Ovis aries: one gene and its partner. The protein of the gene in region 1 purifies or fractionates together with the protein of each later gene. This does not show direct contact. Links are inferred from orthologs where the notes say so. Each region holds a gene or a part of one and is shown in the gene's direction. Other genes may lie near its edges.

Region 1 (3,816 bases):
CATCAGTGCCACCAAACACAGAACATTTCCATCCCTGCTGAGTCGCCCCCCCCCCCCCACTGCCCCCAGAGGCCGCCTCTGTTCTGAGTTCTGTCACCGTGGATTAGTTTTGCCTCTTCAGGAAGGTGACATAACACACAGAGCATGGCCATCTCTGCATCTGCCTTCTTTGTTTCAGCTGTGTGGCTTCACGTCCGTTCATGTCGGTGACTGGATTACAGGTTTTATCGTATGAAGGTACCACAGCTTGTCCACGTGCTCTCCTATTGCTGGTCAGGCGGGTTGCTTCCAGTTCAGAGCTACACGCAATAGATTAGCCAGGCATTCTTGCACAAGTCTTTTTGTAGACTGACTTCTGCTTATTTGGGAAATACCTTTAACAGTGGGTTGCTGGTCACAGGGCCAGATATATGTTTTATTCTATTAGCCATTGGCTAACAGTTTTCCAGGGTGGTTGTTCACGTCACAGCCATGTTCGCTGTTACCTCAGCAGAGAGTTCTGGTTGCCCCACATCCTTGGCAACACTTGGCACGGCTGGCCTTGTCATTTTTAGCCATTGTAAGGAGAGGTTTCGTAGGTTTCATCTGTTTGTGTATTTACTGGCCATGCCTTGAGTGGCATGCCAGATCTTAGTGTCCTGACCAGGGATCCGACCTGACCCCCCGCAGTGGAAGTGCAGATCCTCAACCAGTGGACCACCAGGAAGGTCCCTGAGTAGAGGTTTTTAAACCAACCTTGCATTCCTGGGCCATATCCCAGAGGCCTGGCTGTTTGCTCGTGTTTTGTTAAAGATGTTTCACATTCATGACAGATACTCAGCTATGTTTTTCCTTTCTTCATGCAGTTCTGTCAGGTTTTGGAAGCAGGGTTATGTTGGCCTCATTAAAATGAGTCAAGAAGTGTCCTTCCTCCTTTCCTTTCTGAAAGAGTTTGTCTGTTTTATTTATGACCGTGCTGAGAGGCTTGTGGAATCTCAGTTCCCCAACCAGGGATTGAACCCCGGCCCCAGTAATGAAAGCCTGGAATCATAACCACTAGGCCACCAGGGAATTCCCTGGAAGAGTTTATATGTAGTTCATATGACTTCTTCCTTAAACATCTGATGGAATCACGAGTTCATTTTTTTTTTTTAAACTGATAAAAAGCTTGTCATACTTTCTGTATGTTTCGATGCTAGTCTTGATAATCTGTGTGTTTGGAAGAGTTTGTTCGTACCCTCTACATTATTGAATTTATTGGTGTGAAGTTACAGCCCCCTCTCCTGCTCCCCCCGCCCACCCTGGTCAAAGGCCCTAGGGTCTCTACTGCTGTCATCTCTCGTTCCTGACAGTTGGTATTCTCACAGTCTTACTGTTCAGTCTAGCTCAGTGTTTATCAAAGAACTTTGGCTTTGTTGGTTTTCTCTGTTGTTGGCTTTCTAGTTCATCGACTTTCATCTTTATCTTTAGTTTCCTTCCTTCTAATGGCTTTGGCTTTTAGTTTGTGCTTTTTTTCCTAGCCTCTTGTGGAGGAAGCATACAGCTTTCACTTTAAAATCCTTTTCTTTTATTTATTTATTTTTTTTTGCCTCCTAAACCCATTTCATTAAAAACACACACATTTATTTATGTATTTATTGGGCTATGCCAGGCCTTAGTTGTGAAGTGGGAACTTTAGTTTTAGTGTGTGAACTCTTAGGTTGCAGCCTGTGGGATCCAGTTCCCTGACCAGGGATGGAACCTGGGCCTCTGCATTGGCAGGTGGATTCTCAATCACTGGACCACCAGGAAAGTCCAGTTCTCAGCCCTCTTGAACAGAGGGGTTGTAGAGCCTGCTGCTTCCCAAGAGGCCCTCAGTGGGGGACATGGGGGATGTGAGTGTTCCCTGGACCATAGGCTGTGATGAATGGCCCTAGGAAGGGGCAGAATCCAACCCCCCACTATCCCCAGTGGGCCCTGCCTCCATCCCACCTGGGTGGGCCCAGTCTGAACAGGGTCAGGCCTAGAGGGATGATGGTGGTTGGCACCCTTGCCAGGGCCCAGGCCTGACCCTGACCCCACGTTTGTTGTCAGTTCCACAGAATAATGAGAAGCTTCAGGAGAGCCCCTGCATCTTCGCCTTGACCCCCAGACAGGTGGAGCTGATCCGGAACTCCAGGTGCGCTGTGCCCGCCACCAGGCAGCCCGGGAAGCCTTCACCAGGAAGGGTGGCCCCCACCACACACTCTCAGCACCTTTGACCCACAGGCCCCAGGTGGGCCAGTCATCACCCTTTCACAAGGTCCCCCTCACTGCTCCCAACATCCAGGATGGGGTCGTTCTCTGTGGGGTGTGGGGCAACATCCTGCCCCTACCTCCTTAAGACCAGGAGCCCCCAGTGGTGACCACCTGTGTCCCCTGGGGACAGGACCACCCTGGGTGAGCAGACAAGGGAGGCAGGCTGGTCCCAGGCTCTGACTCTGCCCCTTGAGGCCTTCAGTGTCCAGCTGGGACAAGTGACCACCAGGGCAGCCGCCCGGTAGGCACAGGGCCCACACCCACTAGCCCTCTTACCCTCTACACTGGCCCCCATTCTCCAGAGAGAGATCATTTGCCCAAGTCACCAGCAAGTAGACGGTGGGGGAGAATGTTCTAGGCAGTGCCCTGAGGCCTTTGGTTGCCGTGGGAGGTCGCGGGTTAGTCCACCTGGCTGGTCCCTGACTAAGGCTCAAACTGGCTGCTGGGCACAGGCCCTCTCACTGACCCTCCTCTGCTCCCCACACAGAGAACTGCAGCCTGGGGTCAAGGCCGTGCAGGTTGTCCTAAGGTAAGCCCAGGTGTGCCTGGTCACAGGGGTGGGTGGGGACACAACCCTTGCCCACCTTCCCCTCCACCATCCTGGATGGCTGAAGCCCTGCCTCACCCCACTCCAGGATCCTCTCAGACTGCCTCCGCCTCCACCTGATCCTCCCTTTCTGCTCTCTGGCCTTGTCCCTGGATGCGCCGGCATGCTGCCGCTGCCCACCCCCACCCCCACCTCAGGCCAGACACTGGGTCCCTGGGGACCTCCCCACACCTGTACAGTCTAGCATTGAGATCCCCTGTCAGGCCAGACCAGACACAGGTCATGTCATCTCCCCCTAGGCCCCCATCTGCCCTCCCCACCTCTCCCAGCGGGCCCACCCCTGCCCACAGTGCTCATGACCCCATGGTCCTCATTGTCCTTGCAGAATCTGCTATTCAGACACCAGCAGCCCTCAGGAAGACCAGTACCCACCCAACATCGCCGTGAAGGTCAACCACAGCTACTGCTCGGTGCCGGTGAGTGGATGCCCAGCAGCCGGGTCTGCTGTGGGGTGGGGCCGAGTGCTGAGGGGCGGGGGCACAGCACCTAGAGGTGGTCGCAGCTGGCGCGTCTGCTCCCAGGGCTACTACCCCTCAAACAAACCTGGAGTGGAGCCCAAGAGGCCGTGCCGCCCCATCAACCTCACCCACCTCATGTACCTGTCCTCGGCCACCAACCGCATCACTGTCACCTGGGGCAACTACGGCAAGGTGAGTGGCCGGTCCCGCCTGCCTCTGCCCAAGCGCCTCTGCCCAGCCTGCCCCCGCAGCCCGGCCCTGACTAAACCGCCCTTTCCCGCCCCGCCGCCCCCAGAGTTATTCCGTGGCCTTGTACTTGGTGCGGCAGCTGACCTCCTCAGAGCTGCTGCAGAGGTTGAAGACCATCGGGGTCAAGCACCCGGAGCTGTGCAAGGCACTGGGTGAGCCCTGGGGCGTTTGGCACTGCTGGGTGGGACTCCCCTTGGTCCCTGGTTCTGACCCCCAAATCTGCTGGGGCTTGTTGCTGTGGGCAGG
Region 2 (4,548 bases), on another chromosome or scaffold:
ATGTTGAATGGATTATTAATGAATATTTCCTATATTTTAATTTCTTTTGAAAGGAATTTACCTTGTTGCCTTTATGGGTAAAATCTTCTGAGGAATTCAGTGGTGTCTCTTTTTTAATAATAACTTTATTGATGTGTTAATTCACATACTATAAAAGTCTCCCTTTTAAGGTGTATGATTTGATGGTTTTCCCTATAGTGACAGTTATGCAGCCATCACAAGTATCAATTTTAGAACATTTTCATTACCCCTGAAGGACTGGTGGCTCAGTGGTAAAGAATCTGCCTGCATTGTAGGAGACACCAGAGATGTGGGTTCGATCCCTGGGCTGGAAAGATCTCCTGGAGAAGGACATGGTTACTCACTCCAGTATTCTTGCTGGAGAATTCCATGGACAGAGGAGCCTGGCACTTTATATAGTTCATGGAGTTGAAAAGAGACAGGGCTTAGCAACTGATGCAAAGGAAATGCCATACCTATTAGCAATCATTCCTCACCCTCCCCTACCTAAACCTTTGGCAACCACTAATCCACTTTTTTTTTTTTTTTGGTGCTTTGCCTGTTCTGGATGTTTCATATAAACGGGGCTATATAGCAAGTGGCCTTCTGTGACTTTCACTTAGCGTGTTTTCCAGGTTCATCCATGTTGAAGCATGTACCAGTACTTCATTCTTATTGATGACTAGATAATATTACATTGTATATATTGATACATTCATCAGTTGATGGGAATTTGAGTTGTTTTGGCTATTAGGAATGATACTGCTGTGAACATTTATGTACATATTTTTGTGTGGGCATAGGTTTTTGGTAATTTTGGATGGAATTGCTGAGGGTATGATCCCTGGATTATATGGTAACTTTGTGTTTAACATTTTGAGGAATTGTCAGAGTCCTTTTCCAAGGTGGCTGTACCATTTTGCAATCCCATGTGCAGTGTATGAGGGTTCCATTTTCTCACGAATGCTTTTTGTCTGTTGTTTAGATTTATCCACCTGGTGAATGTTAAGTGGTATCTCTTTGTAGTTTTGATTTGCAGTTCAGTAATGATTAATGATTTTGAGTATCTTTCATGTCCTTATTGGCCATTCTTCTTTGGCAAAATGAGTATTAGAATCCTTTGCCCATTTAAAAATTATTCATCTTTTTATTGTTGTCGGTGATCTCTTATAACAAAGATGGCTATTGCTGATGGATAAACAGCATTTGGTGCCAGGTGATGGCGAATTTTTCATGTGTATTAGTGGTTGACTTTTAGCTTTAGTTACTTGTTAATCAAGAATATTTTAAAGTGCTGCTCTTCAGAAGTAATCCATTTTAAAGGTTCTGTTAAGATTTTACTTTAGGGTGGCTAGTACAGTCAACAAGACTTGATTGAACATGCCTCTATAATAATAAGGTCTAACTTTAATATTTTGGGAATGTCAAAAACGGCAACATTTTAATTAAATCATTTAAAACTCTAAGCACCACATTTAATTATGTGCATTGAGTCTTTGACTTAATTGAAGCAATTCCATCTTTTCCAAAGTAATTGAATCTGCTTTATGAAATGTGTTCTGATATCTGTCTCTCTCTGTTTTTTTTAGATTATCCTGAATACTACATGTCTAACAGTTTTTCTTGCAACGTTAACTGTTGTTTTTCGCTGCTTCCAAAAGATCAAAATTGCTCCAGAAATTGGAGACATATTTGATTTAAAAGAAATAACTTTAACAAATGGACAATATGTCTATTACGAATACACCAACAAGTAATGATGCCTGTCTGAGCATTGTACATAGTTTGATGTGCCATAGACAAGGTGGAGAGAGTGAAACATTTGCCAAAAGAGCAATTGAAAGTTTGGTTAAAAAGCTGAAGGAGAAAAAAGATGAATTGGATTCTTTAATAACAGCTATAACTACAAATGGAGCTCACCCTAGCAAGTGTGTTACCATACAGAGAACATTGGACGGAAGGCTTCAGGTTAGTCTTGTTCCAAGGTTTCTTCTGTACTTTGTAATGGCAGGTTTTTACAAATCCTTGTTTCCTCTTAAGTTACTATGGAAATTTCATGCTTGCTCCATCTCTTTAGATACTGTAGTACATCCTATAGTACAGATATTATCAATACAGGATCCTGTACTAATACACTATATGGAAATAAATGGAAGGATGTATCTTCTTTCAATAGAGGTATAGCTTAAAAGTTTTTAAAAATGTTTTGACTAAAAAAAATGTTCAGTATAGAAAATTTGGAAAATAAAAATCAGAAGAAAACCTACGTCTTTAGCCCTTTGGTATTCATCCTTGTAGCCTTTTTTTCTTTTTTGGTATTATATGTACAACTCAGCTTGCTTTCTTTCCTTTTTTTTTTTCTTATAATTTAGAAATTTGGTATTGTATGTCTGGTACTTTTATGTGAAAAACAATCCAGAAGAATTCAACAATATTTCTAAAACTTACGGAGTTAACTTAAATTTACAAGTCTTTACCTTTTGTTTCCAGGGATCAAATTTTTCATGTAGAATTACATAATCTCATGTGTTTGATATTTTTAAAGAAACATATAGAAAACATAATGTTAGGTTTAAAATTTTTTATTTCTAGATTTTAGGTATTGTTTCTTCATTAAACGCATACTTTTTTTGTGTATTTTTAAAACCTGAGCCTAAGCCTTGAAATCATACTTTAAGTTTACTACTTTGTGACCTTGTCCAATTAAGTTATTTTGCACTTTAGTTTTCTCGTTTAAGAAATAGGAATTTTAATACTGACTTTGTAGGATTGCAAGGATTAAATGAGAGTGTATCAAGTGCCTTGTATAATGTGTGATGCATAATTGATGCTCATTAAATGGTTATTTACTTTTCTTAGGTGGCTGGTCGGAAGGGATTTCCTCATGTGATCTATGCCCGTCTCTGGAGGTGGCCTGACCTTCACAAAAATGAACTAAAACATGTTAAATATTGTCAGTATGCATTTGACTTAAAATGTGATAGTGTCTGTGTGAATCCATATCACTATGAACGAGTTGTATCACCTGGAATTGGTAAGCAGGCTTCACTTCTATGCTTAGAAGCATAAAGGGGAAAGATATCAATAGTGTTTTAATTTTTCTAAGTTAGATTGTAAATTTGGAGATAGCCTAGGATTTCAACTAATTTTAAAACTCAGATATTTTTAATGAAATAACGTGTATTTAAATTTGAATTCTGAGAAAGCTTATATTTTGACTACTAAAACTAAGTGTACATACTTGATATTTTTCCTGTGTAGAACACTGTTATTGAAAAATAAGATGGAAAGCACTTTTGCATTGTTAGATAGCATTTATACTACTATTCTTGAATTGAAATGGTTCATGAAAATTTTGAATCTCTGGCTTAAATTTATATTCTGTAATTTTAAATATGGTGGAAATTATTTTCATTATAATGATTAATATTTTATTTTTTTTCCCCTTTAAAAATTTAAGATCTCTCAGGATTAACACTGCAGAGTAATGGTAGGTAATCCCTTTTCTTTTAACTTTCTCTCTTCTTTTATCCCATGCCCTTTATTTTTTATTGACTTAGAACTAGTCTGTATGGGTGGGTGCTGATAACATTTACAAGAAAAGTACTTACTGCTTTGAAAATGTACATTTTGCAGGGGTTGGGGGCATGCATCAGCATTTAAAACTGGATTTAGTAGGCTATTGACTCTTTGAATTTGAACTGCTATTTATGATTGCAAGTAGAATAAAAAATGTGATGGGGAACATAAAACATACACAGAAAGAGTAACTTTTGAATTGGTAAAAACTGGCTATTTTAGAAGTAAATCTCACAGAACCAGTTTCAGTAGTTATAAATAACCTGTTTGATAATTTAGAATCATGTGTAACATAGTTTAAAAACACCCAAATTCTCAGTTTTCTTTATTTCAGCCGAACTTATTTTTATGATTGATAATTTTGTGAATGACTTAAAACTGTATACTATATTAATTTTTTTTCAGTCTTGTTATATTTTGAGTAAATAAAACTAGGCTACTTTAAAGTATATGGTAATCACAGATGTTCTAGGCCTATTTTTAAAAGGAGAAAGTTTTGAGATAGGAAAATGAAACAAACAGGAGTGTGTTTTTTATTTTTCATGTAGTATTTGAGAACAGAGATCTGTTAAAACTTTAGCTCTGTTCCTTGGAACATGTTAATGAGCTAAAATTTCTGTAAGAACTAGTTACTTTGAACAGAAACTGATAAAAAGCCACTGTCACCTTAGAAGGCTTCCCTGATGGCTCAGATGGTAAAGAATCTGCCTGGAATGTGAGACCTGGGTTTGAACCCTGGGTCGGTCAGGAAGATCCTCTGGAGGAGGAAATGGCAAACCACTCCAGTGTTCTTGTCTGGAAAATGCCATGGACAGAGGAGCCTGGTGGGCTACAGTCTGGGGTCGCAAATAGTCAGACACCACTGAGAAACTAAACCAATACTATCACCTTAGAAAGGTGTGCCGTTGTTCTGAAGGGGAATTAGTGGTTCAGCAGCACTTTTGCTACAGAATCCTAGAAATGTGTCAG

The links.
Region 2: the proteins of PIAS4 (region 1) and SMAD4 purify together in Homo sapiens (affinity purification with western blotting, with the first as the bait; 3 studies listed by BioGRID). This does not show direct contact. The link is inferred for Ovis aries from reciprocal best matches to the Homo sapiens genes PIAS4 and SMAD4.

Annotation. Positions count from the first base shown.
Region 1 is NC_056058.1:17,787,923-17,791,738, reverse strand, and holds part of PIAS4 (E3 SUMO-protein ligase PIAS4), read left to right. Parts: intron 1-2,052; coding exon 2,053-2,137; intron 2,138-2,743; coding exon 2,744-2,785; intron 2,786-3,188; coding exon 3,189-3,279; intron 3,280-3,384; coding exon 3,385-3,513; intron 3,514-3,616; coding exon 3,617-3,722; intron 3,723-3,816.
Region 2 is NC_056076.1:50,866,193-50,870,740, forward strand, and holds the start of SMAD4 (mothers against decapentaplegic homolog 4), read left to right. Parts: upstream 1-1,719; coding exon 1,720-1,968; intron 1,969-2,859; coding exon 2,860-3,034; intron 3,035-3,460; coding exon 3,461-3,490; intron 3,491-4,548. UniProt on the Homo sapiens protein: In muscle physiology, plays a central role in the balance between atrophy and hypertrophy. When recruited by MSTN, promotes atrophy response via phosphorylated SMAD2/4.